Schizosaccharomyces pombe: one gene and its partners. The protein of the gene in region 4 binds, or shares a complex with, the protein of the main gene of each other region. Each region holds a gene or a part of one and is shown on either strand. Other genes may lie near its edges. The genes, in order: tfb5, tfb2, tfb4 and ptr8.

Region 1 (3,164 bases), on a different chromosome or scaffold from region 4:
GACATCAAGTGGTCTACCTCTGGTGCTGACTACGTTATCGAGTCCACCGGTGTCTTCACCACTCAAGAGACTGCCTCTGCTCACTTGAAGGGTGGTGCCAAGCGTGTCATCATCTCTGCTCCTTCCAAGGACGCCCCCATGTACGTTGTCGGTGTCAACGAGGAGAAGTTCAACCCCTCTGAGAAGGTTATCTCCAACGCTTCTTGCACCACCAACTGTTTGGCTCCCCTTGCCAAGGTCATCAACGACACCTTCGGTATCGAGGAGGGTCTCATGACCACTGTCCACGCTACCACTGCCACCCAAAAGACCGTTGACGGTCCCTCCAAGAAGGACTGGCGTGGTGGTCGTGGCGCCAGCGCCAACATCATCCCCTCCTCCACTGGTGCCGCCAAGGCCGTCGGTAAGGTTATTCCCGCTCTTAACGGTAAGCTTACCGGTATGGCTTTCCGTGTCCCTACCCCCGATGTTTCCGTTGTTGACTTGACCGTCAAGTTGGCCAAGCCTACCAACTACGAGGACATCAAGGCCGCCATCAAGGCTGCCTCTGAGGGCCCCATGAAGGGTGTGTTGGGTTACACCGAGGACGCTGTTGTCTCCACTGACTTCTGCGGTGACAACCACTCCTCCATCTTCGATGCCTCTGCCGGTATCCAACTTTCTCCTCAATTCGTCAAGCTCGTCTCTTGGTACGATAACGAATGGGGTTACTCCCGCCGTGTCGTTGACTTGGTTGCCTACACTGCCGCCAAGGACAACTAACTAGCTAATCATCCCGATGCTAAGAAACGTCGGGTGGGTGCTTAAAGGCAATGCAGGAAAGTCTTTTGGAGTTGTTTTCCCCGTTTTTTCTTTATGTTAGACAAAGGAGTCGTTGTCGTTTGCAGTGCGGGAGTTTTCTTTTTTAGATTTTCGCATTTTTTTTGTGGACGCGCACTCTATGTGAATAAATAGATGGATGACTTTTTTACAAATTTCCTCTGTTCTTTGATACCCTCCTTCTCATTCATTGTTGCATATATTTTTTTTAATTTTGTTGCAGTGATGAGATGGCTGAGCGTTTGTTTTTGAACTTATAAATACTTATAAATAAATTTTATGATTTTGATAAATACTTTTTTTCGTTTTGGTTTGTGATACGTATAGTTTGCCTGTCTCCTTTTGTAAATGATCTTCTTTTGTAGTCTTGTGTAATCTCTTTTTCATTTGGTCAACTTAAGTGAATTTTTTTTTGTCAGTTTCCTTGTAGGATATTATGTCAAAGTCTTATTTATACTATATATTATTGCTTTGGTGGTGAGTCGCATTTGTGGGGACGGTGTTACTTTACTGATGGATTTAGGTAGGAGGCATCCACTGTCCCCCATTTCGCTAGCTTAAGTTTAATATGAAGATGCACTTAAGCATGAACGCCCGTTTTGATCTTTTTCACTTGTACCGCGAAGAGCTTGTTTTACTGTTTTTCCGTCTGCATCCCGAGAACTAGTTGATCTCCCAATGCACACTTTAGACTTTATTCAAACCGAAGTCGGTTTTGTAATTTAAAAATTTTTACCCACTGTAAAGTACAAACAATTCATCGCTATGTTAGTTGTGTACGCTACTAGCGCATCACATGATTACATGTTAATCAACAAAAACGAAAATGTTTATTGTCAATCTAAAAATACATATGTCCGTTAAGACAAAAGTATGAGGCTGGATGGAATGAGCAATGGTAGCAAAAGGTTTCCGAAATGGTCATATCATTTTTTCAATTTTTGCTGATCTCAAATACCTCAACTTGTTTTATTCATATAAATAATTTGTTTTTGCATATAATCATAATAATCAAATTCATTACCATCTTTAACACAACAAACTTGCATGATATTTATTCTTGTTTGCTCTTACATTCGGCATCCAACGATCATGGGTAACTTGATACCTGTGGCTTAAGGAGCTTGTAGCATGCCATGATTCTGCTGGCAGACACCAAATTTGAGGCAATGCCACGCGCACAAAAAGGCTTACTCTTGGTTGAATGTGACCCAACCGTTAAGCAATTGATTTTGAACATGGACGAACAGTCTCCTGGTATCGTTATCGAAGAGATCGATGAAGAACGATTGTTAGTAAATGAAAGTCGACTAGAACAGGTGAAAGCAGAGTTAGAACGACGCCTTGAGGAAAATACATATCAAGTTGAAGAGTAAGAAGAGATTAGTATGACGAAAGTTTTCTTTGGATGATGAACTGAATGTTTCAGTCGATGGACGAACCTAATATTGTACGATTAATGGATCATTCAATGTCAACGATCTATGATCATTTTCTCAATTTTAAATTGTAAAAAAATTTTAAAATAATGCAAAAAAGAAATTAATTCTACCTTTTATTTGGATATGGGTGAAAAGGTTGGTTTATTTTTTAATGACTTGACGTTTGTGTCAAATTACATAACAGTACCCAAAACTCGTGTACCGATGGGCAAAAATTATGAAAGGAGCCAGCTGATTTTGTATTTTTTGAAAATAAGTTTTGAATATATTGTTAACTACGCCGAGCTATTCAGTAGTTGCTTGCAAGTCTTTATTTAATTTTTAGTATTGAATGAAAGTTTATACTATTTGAATATACTATACTATCTATATAATTAATATGTATAATAAGAGAAATGTTCTTCTTTGTCTAACGATATTTTTATGCATTCCTAATTGAAACTTGGTGGTGTTTCTAGAAAGATAGTTCAGTTCATACGCGTGATAACTTTTTCAACACCGGGAACTGGAAGAACATACAACAAGGAAAAGGCATAGTTTCATGCTTGTCCTATAAACAAATGAACAAGGAAAAAGATCAATAAAGATCAATTTTGCATATTCTAAACCATAGTGCTGGGAGGTGTTTCGGTCGTGATACCTGTTCCACCAAGCGTGGAACTTGAAGTAAAAGCCTGACCTTTAATACCGGCAAAGGTGTAACATAAACCAGTAAGAGCGAGCACAATGCCGGTGGCAATAAGACTAGTAGCCATAAAGATGCAACTGAGAAAGGTTACCACGGAAAATATAAAATAGACAAGCTAAAAGAGTTAATAAACACTGTATGTAAAAGACAGCAGGAAGGCAACAAAGGAATTAAAAATATCCAGAGGCATGCTTTTTCCCCTGTGTGCCTTTCTT
Region 2 (4,274 bases), on a different chromosome or scaffold from region 4:
TAAAGTACCACCACTTTGTAAAAAAGTTTGATTCATATCTATTGACACGCCAGAAATAAAAAGCCCTCGACTGGCCAATGCTAAACTTCCTCCCAAATCAGTGAGTGCTGCAATACAACCGCCATGCAAATTACCCATACGATTTAGGTGATGCTTCTGCAGTTTCAGAGAGCATTCTACAAATCCTGGAACTGCACTTATAATTTGTATATCACTGACTACATGAGCATCAAACCCATTGGTATTTACAAAATCCTGCCAAACAGAACGAACGAAAGAAAGCACCTTAGTACCAGAGCTATTAATTGCCATTGTGTCTTAAAACTTCGTTTAACAGGTATCAATCACTGTAAAAGTAAGTACCTCAGGTGAATTGGTTATGTTGTGGCAGTTCTTGGCTACTCGCAGCAGCGATACTTGTAGTTAGTAAGGATTTACAAGCCATTTGCCTGCCTATAGTAATATCACCAAATCATTATTACAAATGGTAATATAATTAAATGAACATTAAATACAAGAATATGAATATTGTTTGGATTATTCAAATAACGGATATTTTTTTTTTCTAATGACGAGAAGAAGAAATTCATAATTTGAACGTTAAAGAGTTGCATCATTAAAACTTGAATTTCGTATAAATATCCAACACGCGTATAGTTAACATGGCTAATGTTGAGCTTATGTTATATATATGTTTATTGACACCAGTAAATTACTTACAAGTGATTTGAGATTAATTTAATATTTTCTAATTACCACTTCTCTTTTGAACCATCCAAAAAATATTCATTTGACAGCTCGTCTTTTCAAGTATGCGATCATGGGCTGGGCGCCTGTCGTAGTTATGAAAAACATTCTTTTCAAGGAACTGTCCCAAACCAAAACCCCGAGTTCTTTTGCGTACTCTACTGCTTGGTCGAAGCCAGAATCAGTAAGAAAATCGCGAAACAAAATTCCAGGAGTAGCCCGAAGTCTATTTTTTTCCAATTCCCATAAATAAATTTGATCTACTAATGTAGGAGGTAAAAGAGGAACATTCGATCTCATCTGAGGGTGAGCATGAGTTGTCAAGTATGTAATAATTTGCTCCGCTGCAATTCCATTCATCAAAGCACGACGAATACTATCCCGAGTTATCACACCGACAACAAGATTTGAAAAACGCGCCCTTAAGTTAGCAAACAATCCGATGATGGCAATCTGTAATGGGGAGCTTGTGTAAGCATATAATCGGTAATTTGTTTCTACAATAATAAAACCTTTATCATCATCATTTTCACTTTGCTTTCCATGCAATGAGCGATAATCAGTTGTCAGACCTGTTGCCAGTCTGGTTGGATAGAAACGCTTGGAAGTAATTTTTCTTTGATAAACTAATCCATATTCTCTTAGGTCTTCAAGCATGATTTGTTGTGTATCTGTTAAGAAGTCCACTGAGTATGCCCTCCCCAAATCCAAACTTCCAAGCATAAATAAAAAGTGCAAAACCTGAACAGGATCCATATGCGTGTCTTCAGATAGTTTTAAATAATCCAAAAGTAACGTCCAAATTTGAGCATTTATATCCTGTAACAGAAACTGAAAACCGGCACGGGTAATACGTAGCTGGTTTTTTGGACCAGACATTAAACCGCCCCGCTTTAATAGACTTAAGACACCTTCTCCAGGAAATTTAGCTTCCGGAGTTCCTACCATGAAGTGCAAGATTGTTTCCCAAGTTTCTTTCGCATATGCGTCAAGAAAATCAACCGTCACCAAGTGCTTGTCTTCATCGGTACATGGCACGCCAAACGAATTGTGATTTCCTCTAAAAAGCTTAATTAGTTTATACTCAAAATTCAATAAAACTTACCCTCCAGTCAGAGCAGTTATAAATTGTTTGCGAAATTCACTATTTAGAGTGATATATTGTCCATCAAATTGAAATATATGCATCCTAACCAGTTTGTTGAAGGATTCAGATTGATAAACTTTACTCGAAAGTTTGATCCATAAATCGAAATCTGAGAGTGCTACTGGCATAGGATTGAAAAGCATAGACATGACATACTGTCTAGCTAGAATTGGCAATAAACGAAACACAGCAAGACAAGCAGCTGGCTTTTGGTAAAGCCTTGCATGATTTGGTAACTGTTCCAGGAAGTCGTTGATACTAGACTTGAATTCTGCTTGCATGGTGACAATTTGCGAACCTACTTCAAAAGGTTTAAATTGGCGGTTGTAATCTCTCTTTATTCAGCTGAATAGAACAAAATCCAGTGTACTCAACTAATAAACTTATTTACGATTATCAATCTTCCATAAATGCCAGATAAGCAATCATCGCGAGACCGAAGGTGGATGGTGATCAAGAGCGAGTCGAATTACTGGTATTAAATAGGCTAGAATAACAAGCCAAAGCTTCCGACAATGACAATAACAATTTTTTTTTGCTGATAATTACATTAACCTGTGTACATATTTATTACAATTCAAACTTTTATGCCCAAGTTGCGAATTGTCGTGATTAGATAAAAACATATAAACAATCATTCATACTTAAGTTTTAAATAAAGTCAGTTTTAAAAAAAAAAAGATTTGTTTTAAATGTTCTGAATATTTACAGTTACGTTAAATATTTACTGTACTATTACTTATTTAGACCATTAGAGATGCATGCTTGGTTGAAATAAACCGCGGGATAAATGACCCTCGAGAGAAAAATAATTTGTTTTTCAAATATCAGTGAAAAACATATAAATCCTTAATCATCTAATTAACTTCTTCCGTATCAGCTGAATAAATTGTGCGTAATTAAACTCTTTCATTTATGCAGCAAAAAAATTTTGTTATTTGGACTGGAATTATACATCAAGACCTTAAAGCACGTAAACGTTCTTGTAAGTTGTCATCTTCTACAGGAGCGGCGGGAGTAGGAACACTGGCAGCAGGAACCGAAAGATTATTGTTCATATTCTGGTTAAATTCCAAACCAGCTTCATCAGCTACCGTTTGCATTAATAAATCTACATCTTCTTGGGGTGTATCGACAGCAGTCACTGATCCCATAGCCTTATATAGTGTTAGTTCTAGTCTTGAAATATGATTAATCAAGGAAACTTACCTTATTCATATAACCCGTTTGAACATTAACATCATCGAATTGCGCTTCAAATTTATCCATGACTTGTGAAATCTGTGGGTCAGAAACATTTGAAAAAAAACTCATTCTACGAGAATTAGGAACTCACCATCTCCAAATTCATTGTTTTCATAGCTCTGTCCATTCCCCGAACGACACCTGCCATATTTCCCGACACCTAAATAGTCAATAAGTATGCCACGTTAAATTGCTAACATACAGCACGCATAGTTACAGCAGTCTGTAAACGACTTGAAACCGCATCTATTCTTGAAGAAAGTTTGAGCAAATTAAGGGATTCTTGCTGCTTCCGAATTGCATTCGATGCATATATGCGGGCAATTTCTGAGTTGCCTTTTGTGATAGCCTAGGTAATAACAGTTAGTAATGAATAACGCCAAAAAGTAAAAAAAAATTTTTATCTAGCAAATCATATGAAGATGGAATAATCGACAAAACCAAGACTCTGCAAAACCACCAAGAATTACAATAGCAATTGATAGATGAGCTGTAAAAAAATTCATTGATAGTGACATGCTTGGAAATAGCAATCATTACAACAAACAAACCTTTTTCACTTTTTCCCGTTCAGCACGCTCCTCTTTCGCAGCTTTAAGTGATTGTTTATTCAGCGACTTTGCAGCAAACTAACGCATTGTTAAAAACAAACTTCAATTAAGAAAATACCTTTAATTGAAACAGAGATGCTTTCAGGTTAATCAATTATCAAAAAAATTACTTACTTACCCTCTAAATTGCTCATTTTGTTTGTAAAGGTAAGCTAGCTGTATAATGCTAATTCTATTGATTGAGCGTCTGCTAGTAAGGCTGATGATTTTTAGAACTTCTTAATACATTACTCGTAATGCATTTTAACAAAATTAAACAACTTCACTAAGGAAGATAGTGGGGTCTAAAATTGACAGTATCTTAGTTTATGATAGCGTAAACACCATAAACAAAAGAATATAATTAGCAGATTATAAAAAATAAGACTTTCAAAAGATAAATAATTAGTGGCTCGATGTTTAAAAATTCAATAACCTCCCAGTTTATTGTTGCCAGTTTTTTTGTAGAAGACGATCTGTCAGCATAAAAATGGATTGATAACACATGAGGAAGTTTAACTTAGTTTGCTTAATATTTTTCCAAC
Region 3 (3,573 bases), on a different chromosome or scaffold from region 4:
GAGTATGAATTGATTCATACTAACTAATTCCCACAGGATCGCAATTCCCAACCTATGGCCAACCTCTGCAAAAGAAGGACATGCGAGGTCCCATGCACCTCAAGAGGAGTCATCTAATGAAGATTAAACATTCTTTTGACGTAATTTTCGGAAATTTTTTTTATCTATGAATTTTAACGATAATTTATCTCTACCAGATTCCACGAAATATATTGATTATGAAGTCGAAATAAAAATTTTAAGCATTAGCTTGCGAAATATGGCGGGTAACTTCGATTCGGAATCCAGCCGTTCTTCTCATATTCCATCCACCACCTATTGCATTCGAATTCTACGTTTTCCGAACACATTTTTTTAACAATTCGTGATAAATTCCTCGCATCATCTATTCCGCGATGCTCGCTTCCCTCAAACTGAAGACCCCAATGCTCTAGCATTCCATTAATATTTGTGCGTGGAACGCGATAAACGTCTTTATAGAAAGACCTAATATCTACGAATGGTCCTTTGATCCAGTCAGGAATTGGCATTTTATCATATTTGAACTGATAATACGATTTGTTAGCGAAATGTGAGACAAACCGAACAAAATTATATTAACACTTACTTGTTTGGCTAAAAAGGACGCCATATCCCAAGGACCATCACAAGCCCAGGCCCAATTTTTGGGCTGTGTTCTGGGTACGGACTTTAAGGGTTCTATAATCTCAATTTCATCAACTGAGGGAACTAAAATATTGGAATGTTTCCGCAAGAATATGAATAGTTCTTCCAAGACATCTGAGAAGATAGGCGCTTTATCAACAGTGCATTGTTGAATTCCTGTCAGTGATTTACAATAGTCAGACAAAGTAGGATTCATGGATGGGCGAACGTAAGAATGAAATTCGTCGATTATGGATTTTTCTATTAAATCGAATAGAAGACATGGTAATTCTATGATCTCGTTTTCGAAGCTAAATCCGCAACCTTCTTCACATGTAGCTTCGACGTCCACAATTAGCAAGTATCGTCTACAAGTATTCAGTTACTGTTAGATAGAAAATGTTTAAACAATTGATGATTTAACCCTACAAACAAGTTTTGTTTTCATTACTAGTAGAAAACTTTTGATAACGTTCTTGTTTTCGTTTTTCTTCAAGACGTTTTTCACGAAATTTCCATCGCCGTTTCAGTTTTTCTCTTTATACTGTGTAAATAATTAATTTATATAAACTCTGAGAAAACGGACTAATTGCTTCTCAATTTCAGTAACATACTTGTTTCCATTCGTACTCAACCCAAGTTCTTGTAGTGCTATACGAATTTCTTCTACCGTAGACGGTGTTTTTTGGTTCATCTCGTCACATGGAAAAGGCCAAACTAAAATCTGCACTGGCGACTCCATAAATTTTTTATATTTTTGGAATTACTTTACCTTTTATTTCATTAGATAAACCATTTCATTATAATGGAATATAAATGTTTTTGAAATAACACTGTTTTGTTGGCAATCTTTTTTTGAACCCTACACTTTTTCTGGGTTGTTGTCTACCTGTATTAAAGTTGGGAAAGCATTGAGAAAAAACACATTATAAAAAGAGGGATGGATGAATTTCAAACTTTGAAACAAAATGCCTCGTGGGATATATCTGAAGACGCAAATGATACACCCAGTTTGCTTGTAGTTATATTAGACGCAAATCCTGCCTCATGGTACTCCCTTTCCAAAAAAGTGCCTGTTTCCAAGGTACTGGCAGATATTACGGTTTTTCTAAACGCACACTTAGCTTTTCATCATGATAATAGAGTTGCTGTGTTAGCTTCACACTCGGACAAGGTTGAATACCTATACCCTTCGATTGCACCTGAGCAAAAAGTCGCAGAAGTAGATCCTACCAAGGAGGCAAATACGTATCGAAAGTTTCGTGAGGTAGACGACTTAGTTTTATCTGGGATGAAGCGACTCATGAGTTCGACTGATAAAGTTTCAAGAAAAACGATGATTTCCGGAGCACTATCTAGAGCCCTTGCATATATCAATCAAGTTCAAAATAAAAATACTCTTCGTTCTCGAATTCTAATTTTCTCATTAACTGGTGATGTTGCTCTTCAGTATATTCCTACTATGAATTGTATATTTTGTGCTCAAAAGAAAAATATTCCAATTAACGTTTGCAACATTGAGGGAGGCACCCTGTTTTTAGAACAAGCAGCAGATGCCACAGGAGGGATTTACTTAAAAGTTGACAACCCCAAAGGCTTACTACAATATCTCATGATGTCGCTTTTTCCGGATCAAAATCTTCGAAAACACTTAAATACCCCAAACCAAGCGAATGTTGATTTTCGAGCTACATGTTTTTGCCACAAAAAGGTTTTGGATATTGGCTTTGTTTGCTCAGTTTGTCTATCAAGTAAGTAGTAACAAAGCTTTACGATAGGCTTTGAACATTTGACCTTTTGCTAACCTCTTTAGTATTTTGTGAACCACGGGTGCATTGTTCTACTTGTCATACCAAATTCACGGTAGAACCTATGTCAAAAAAATTGCACACTTGATAATTCGTTATATTATTATTAAACTATATATTTCTTTGTCTCACACCGGGTGTACAGCTTTATCATATTTGAAACCCTGTTTTTCATTACCTAAATCTCCTTATCCTGGTGATTTGTACAGTCTAGCTCTTTTTTTTTGGCGATTTTTACTTTCTGGCATTTTGATACACTTGAAATGTTAACATTTTTCGGAAGGATCAAACTATTTCCTTAAGGGGCATCCACAAGTAGAAACTTAACGTATAAGCAACTAATTCATTCCAACGTACCCTATTATTATTTATTTCCTTAGAGCTTCTTCTATTATTTCTTCAAGTTGCATTGGCTTCTTTCTTTTCCAAACAGTGCAGTAAGACGAAATTATATACTATTCTTTAATTAATTTACTAACGAATCATTAATGTTGAAGATGCTGACAGAAATTATTTCACAGGAACTTTCCTTTCTACTGTTTATAATCTATTGCATCTCTAATGTTGGTGCTTGATCATTTTAACAATGGCTTTTTTTAAGCTTTTTTAATCAGAAAAGTTATATTACATTGAGATCTATATGAATGCAATTTATAATGAATTGGTTTGATTATTGTAGTAAGGTTACGAATCTTGGTTTTTACATGTAACTCAACCTCTGAATTTCTGTACTGAGCAATAAAAGCGCGGATTGATAATTCATACTAATAGAGCCGGTTTACTTTTATTTGCCCGAATATTCTCAAACTCACAAGTGACGACAAGCTTGAAAAAAAAAAAGTATTTTCTTAAATTCGTTTATTCTGCAATCAGATATTCATAGTTTTTAAAAAAGGAAAAATAATAAAAAGGTTGTAATATATTTGTTCTAAATCTTCAGATTTCAGACGTAAATTAGTCTGATTAACCTTAGGAGCATTACAACCATTGCCTAATCTGTTGATAGATTCAATTACAAACTTCTGACATCCTGAATGTCTATTTTCCACTAATTTTAGAATTTTTGATTGACTGTGCTTTTTAACAGCTCTTTCCCGACTATATAGCGTTTTATTTCAGC
Region 4 (5,244 bases):
TATCATAAATCATTTGATTCAGTTTACTAAGTTAATTATAGTCCAGCAATTTTGATTTTTGATTCTTTAGCAAATCTTCATAAAGGAGCATTAAATTACTTACGTGAATATTTACTGGAAGAAGCTTTCGAAAGGAAAAATGTACATCTTAAGTCCACTGATATACGGGGGTTTCATGCAAAAGTCCCGCAACAAAGCAATTTTTCTGATTGTGGTATATATGCGTTACATTTCGTCGAACTATTTCTTGAAACTCCTGAGCAAGTGATAGCCAATACTTTAGATAAATCTCTTAGACGGACGGATGCTAAAAACTTCGACCAACAGTGGAACCTTCAAAAGATTAACACGATGAGATGCGATTTGAAGGGTTTAATTCGCCGTCTGTCAACTGAGTGGTCGTCTAACAATGAACGACAATCGCTTAGCAGCGGAAGCAACGATGAAGAAGATAAAGAAAATGATGATGATTTGGCAATATTGCCAATCACAAATTAGAATTTACAAGGGAATTAGGGAAATCATAATTTCATATTAAAACTTAACGAAAGCATTATTATCAAAAATTTTAGCGTAGAAAAATCAACAAAATTCATGTCTATATCGTGTGTATGCTAGCATGTATAACTTCGCTAGCGACGTTTAGTATACAGGTGCTTCCGAAATAAGGCATGATGTTCTTTACTGTCCTTTTTCAGCTGTTTATTAGCACTCTTGTTATATTCCACGTATGCCATATTGTCGGCACCAGCCAATGTACTTAAAGAACCACTAGAACGTTTAGCTTTCGCCGGTGCTCTAGAGAGACTTCTGGATCCAAAGCTAGTATCCTCACCGTCATCCAAATCAGCTGCTTCTTCATTTTGTAGCAATACTTCCTGCAAAAGCTCAAGTCTCTCCGCTTTGGAGGCGTAAGCCAAATTTGGCAAGTTCTCCATACCCTTTAAATTAGTGATGACTTTAAAAGCATAGCCTTGGTCAATTAAAAATGCTTGCCGTTTACTGGAATAATACATTTCCTGAGTGTCTTTAGATACCAAGCTATAGAAAAATGCGTTAAAGCCTTCATCATTTCGTCGCTTGGCACGAAGAATACGCCCCAAACGTTGAGCTTCTTGACGCCTAGAACCATAATGAGAAGAAATCTGAATCAAACAGGTTGCTTCAGGAAGATCAATAGACGTATCACCAACTTTAGAAAGGAAAATGGTATTTACAAGTTCATTATACTGGAAATTTTCCAAAATCCTCATTCTTTCCTGCTGTGGAGTTCCACCATAAATAAAATATTTGCCTAATTTTATTGCATAAGCACGCAAAGCATAGACATTGTCTGAAAAAACGATAATTTTATCACCACGTTTTTCGTGATAATCGATGAGGAATTGACAAGCCTGAAATTTTTTAGGATTCATGATATAAAGTAGCATTCTTTTTCGGGAGTTTTCTCGAAGATATTCATTATAAAACTCAGTGGTCATCGCGCACCAAACTTCGGCGCATTGAACCTTAGCGATGTGACCTTTTTGTGCCAAATCCATCCAATTTGCTTCGTACATTTTAGGCCCAATCAAAAAATTTAAATCATCAATTTTATCATCCTCACGAACTAACGTAGCAGTTAACCCAAGCTTTGTGTGAGCGGCAATTGTGGTGACAACTCGCCGAAACATGGCAGCAGGAACCACATGTACTTCGTCTAATAGGATAAACCCCCATTCACGTCCCGTAAGAAAATCCATCATTTTTTGAGAATCATAGGATCTATTCCTGGTATTGGCAACCATTGAGTACGTGGAGACAACCACACCTGCTTCGCTGTGAAACCGTTCTTTGTGATCAGCAGTAAAAACCGCAATGTGATCAGGCTTGATGTTGCTCCACTGTAAAAATTGTTGACGCCATTGCATTACCGAAACAGAACTGGTGCAAAGCACGATTACTGATTTTTTGATAGTACAAGCCGCTGTGATACCAACCAAGGTTTTACCAGCTCCACATGGTAATACAATAATTCCACTTCGAGCTCTACCATTTCCAAACATTTTACTAAGACTCTTTTCTTGGTATGGACGAATTTGAGTGCTTGGCTTAAGGTCTATAGGAAGATCTGGATTGATGTTGTCATTACGAAAATCGTACTCTTCCAATAAGGGATAATCAATCTCTGCACATCTCTTCTTGATAGTTTCCACTGAAGAGTGCTTAATTTCGAAAAGATGAACGGCATCTTCATCATCTTCCTCTTCCTGTAAGCCTACTACTGCCGAAAACAGTTCATCAGATGAACTTTTCTCAGCAGTTTCTTTTGAGGAATCATTGGTGATATCTTTTTTGTCTTCCACATTATCTTCATTGGAAGGCTTTGAAGACTTCTGCTTGCTAGACTGGGTAGAATAATCGATTCGAAGAGGGCCTATGACAGGATCTCTTAATAACAGTCGTAAAACACTTGCATCTCCACTTTCAATAAAATATCTGTTTTTCTTCAAGACCAGTTTGACCTTACCGTAAGAGACAGTACAAGCGCGGATAAAGTCTACGATAGAAGGAGGAATTGGGGTTTTTGAAAGTCTATCAAGGACTGCTATTATATCTTCAGTTTTTAACCCAACGCTAACAGCAGCATAAAGTGAATATGCAGTAATTCTATACTCATGAATGAAAGCGGGTCGAGAAACTGGCTCTGAAATTGTTACCAAGAAGTCGATAGCTTGCTCAGCCAATGGGCTGAATGCTTCAAGGATAATTCTACCATCAATTGGATTAATCCAAAGTGGCCTAGCCGTATGATCCAATTTTAAACCTAGTAAATTAGAAAAATCGTTTTGGCCAAACATAGCAGAAATCCCAGATTGGCGGGCTTCATTGCTATTAGTCGTGGTTTGTGCTTTAGTTTTATTGTTGTTTATACGAATCCTGGGTGCAGGCTTGTAAGAATCATCATCCTCTTCACCGTAATTGTCAACATCGCTGTAATCGCTATATTCTTCTAAATCCTCGTCAGGTGTCCCTTCCCTTGCATTATTTTTTCTCTTTAGGCTCATTATTTAATATGAAATGTTTATAAATAGCTAATGACTCAAACTCTTTGAAAATGAGTTGCCGTATGGCAATAATAATTTGCAGCAGTAAACGACAAACCAAGATGCGAGGCCAATCAAAAGAAATTTAAAGCAACAACTCTCAACTGATTATTAAGTTTCGTAACTTTTCAGCTGTCACTTTTAAATTTATAAGCACAAAAGAAAAGGAGGTTCTCCTGTGGGTGTGTGTGTGTTAATGGCAAATCACTAGTAAGATGAAGCGATTGTTAGTACCACCAAAATACTATCATTTTAATCGAAAAATATAATAAATCTAAATTTTATCTTGGGATTAATCACTTTTGCTAGGTAATAAGGGTGAAGAGGCAGAGTACCCTGGTGCAATTCGTTTAAGCTTTTCAAGACGCTCTACTTCAAGATTTTTTTTCCAGTTTTGATAATTTTCTGTTAATTCTTCATCTGTGGGTAATTTGGTTGACATAACATCTACATCTTCAAGATTTATTCGAGGCTAAAATAGCTTGATTAGTATATAAATTGGCATCCCAAACATACAATTGTATTTACGCCATTCTGTAATAGATTAATTGACTCCTCTGGGAAGGGAGGTATTTCAGGTATTAGATTTTTATTCGGTATTCGACGAAGCGACATTATTAAGTAAGAAAGGTCTTATAGGCAAAGGTTAGGTGTATACCAGTGCTAACATTAGCATGCGCAATGGATTCGTAAACTTGATTCTTTAATTCGAATGAACATCTACTTTATGATACGAAACTCATTTGAAATTTTCACTGTTAAACAATCATTTCGTCAACAAACGTGTTTACAATAACCTTATTGTTAAGATGTATCAATAAATCATAACTGAAACCAAAAAACTAACGAAAGATACATACAATGCACAAACTAAATAAAAAATTATTTATTTGTGATTTGTATGCTTATGCTGTCGTGAATCGAGATTTGTTTTAGTCAAATTTTCATGTTAGTTGAATTTATCCGGTTTGTACTAAGTTCAGTATACCTACTACATAAGAAATCTCATCTTTCGTTCATTTCATTGACATATCTCCTTTTATTTTATATCATTTCTATTTCTACGACTTTACTTATAAAACTTAAAGTAGTAAGGACGGTGGAATATCGAGAACAAGTCGTTTGTGCGAATTCGTGATGCATATTGAATAAACTCGGTTAACTCACCATTTTCTTGTCAAATTGGGTATCTTGATAAATTATATTTAAATTTTTTTTTTGCTTTTTGCATCGTCGCGTGAAAAAACAAAAAAAAAGAAAAACGAATACCAAATTTAGAATTTGCAGTTAATTAATTCAAAATAATTTATTACTTTATTAACACTGTGAGAGATTTGACATCTGGAATACATTATTTCTTTACCCCATAATTAAAAATGAGTTGGCGTCCTACTCATTCAGTCAGAAATGCTCCTTACTCAATGAGAGATAACTATGCGCAAGGCGTAGATGTTTATTACAAAAAGGTAGGAGGGACTTATCGAAATTTGCATTTTCGGGGATTACGACTTTTGCTATTGCAGTGCTTAAGTCATTTTTGGGATCATGATGAAAAGTTTAAAAGTCACGGATTGCATGTTATAGATTTGGCATGTGGAAGTGGGGAAGTTTCAGAAACAGTTATAGAATGGGAGCATTTAGGGAGGGAACTGGGTATACATGGAGGAGCTTTTAAAGTCCGTAAAGAAATTTCTATACGTTCTATTCCACCAGAATTACCTCCTTTTGAGCTTATAGCTACGGACCCATTTACTTTAGAAGCCTACACAAATCGCATTGGTAAGCCATGCTTAACGCTAAACTTTCAGGATATTGCTGATGAAAAACTACCTCCAAGTAGCGCTGAAGATGGCATATATGACCTTGTAATATGTTCTTTTGCTCTTCATTTACTTACAGAACCATCTAAACTATTCTCTACTTGTTATGCCTTATCTGTTCAATGTCGCTGGCTTTTAGTCTTGGGTCCTCACAAAAAACCTGAATTGAAACCTGAATGGGGTTGGGATGCTTGGAATATAGACACCTGGTGTCCTTTGGGGTATGGTATCTCTCATGATTATGTCTTAGAAAGGGTGCATGCTCGATTTTTTAAAAGCCGAAATTTAATTGACGGTTAAATCTGATGAGTTTCTGGAGGGCTTTTTTAAAAAAAGAT

The links.
Region 1: ptr8 (region 4) and tfb5 share a complex: the UniProt entries of both Schizosaccharomyces pombe proteins name them as parts of the 7-subunit TFIIH core complex.
Region 2: ptr8 (region 4) and tfb2 share a complex: the UniProt entries of both Schizosaccharomyces pombe proteins name them as parts of the 7-subunit TFIIH core complex.
Region 3: ptr8 (region 4) and tfb4 share a complex: the UniProt entries of both Schizosaccharomyces pombe proteins name them as parts of the 7-subunit TFIIH core complex.

The regions. Positions count from the first base shown.
Region 1 is NC_003423.3:2,807,886-2,811,049, forward strand, and holds tfb5 (transcription factor TFIIH complex subunit Tfb5), read left to right. Parts: upstream 1-1,988; coding exon 1,989-2,195; 3' UTR 2,196-2,654; downstream 2,655-3,164. Other genes in the region: glyceraldehyde-3-phosphate dehydrogenase Tdh1, read left to right, coding at 1-762; SPOM_SPBC32F12.12C (golgi membrane protein involved in vesicle-mediated transport), read right to left, coding at 2,864-3,064. UniProt on the Schizosaccharomyces pombe protein: Component of the general transcription and DNA repair factor IIH (TFIIH) core complex, which is involved in general and transcription-coupled nucleotide excision repair (NER) of damaged DNA and, when complexed to TFIIK, in RNA transcription by RNA polymerase II.
Region 2 is NC_003423.3:3,751,971-3,756,244, reverse strand, and holds tfb2 (transcription factor TFIIH complex subunit Tfb2), read right to left. Parts: upstream 2,346-4,274; 5' UTR 2,176-2,345; coding exon 1,853-2,175; intron 1,808-1,852; coding exon 787-1,807; 3' UTR 528-786; downstream 1-527. Other genes in the region: the13 (acyl-CoA thioesterase), read right to left, coding at 1-312; ESCRT III complex subunit Did2, read right to left, coding at 2,851-3,051, 3,104-3,175, 3,231-3,299, 3,342-3,488, 3,691-3,768, 3,809-3,828, 3,869-3,884. UniProt on the Schizosaccharomyces pombe protein: Component of the general transcription and DNA repair factor IIH (TFIIH) core complex, which is involved in general and transcription-coupled nucleotide excision repair (NER) of damaged DNA and, when complexed to TFIIK, in RNA transcription by RNA polymerase II.
Region 3 is NC_003423.3:1,318,506-1,322,078, reverse strand, and holds tfb4 (transcription factor TFIIH complex subunit Tfb4), read left to right. Parts: upstream 1-1,502; 5' UTR 1,503-1,585; coding exon 1,586-2,396; intron 2,397-2,458; coding exon 2,459-2,541; 3' UTR 2,542-3,009; downstream 3,010-3,573. Other genes in the region: ERMES complex subunit Mmm1, read left to right, coding at 37-127; double-strand siRNA ribonuclease Eri1, read right to left, coding at 246-545, 608-1,013, 1,075-1,182, 1,260-1,339. UniProt on the Schizosaccharomyces pombe protein: Component of the general transcription and DNA repair factor IIH (TFIIH) core complex, which is involved in general and transcription-coupled nucleotide excision repair (NER) of damaged DNA and, when complexed to TFIIK, in RNA transcription by RNA polymerase II.
Region 4 is NC_003424.3:1,759,590-1,764,833, reverse strand, and holds ptr8 (transcription factor TFIIH complex ERCC-3 subunit Ptr8), read right to left. Parts: upstream 3,288-5,244; 5' UTR 3,048-3,287; coding exon 633-3,047; 3' UTR 515-632; downstream 1-514. Other genes in the region: SUMO deconjugating cysteine peptidase Ulp2, read left to right, coding at 42-498; SPOM_SPAC17A5.19 (uncharacterized protein), read right to left, coding at 3,379-3,558, 3,603-3,701; SPOM_SPAC17A5.05C (uncharacterized protein), read left to right, coding at 4,463-5,206. UniProt on the Schizosaccharomyces pombe protein: Probable ATP-dependent 3'-5' DNA helicase/translocase. Binds dsDNA rather than ssDNA, unzipping it in a translocase rather than classical helicase activity. Component of the general transcription and DNA repair factor IIH (TFIIH) core complex.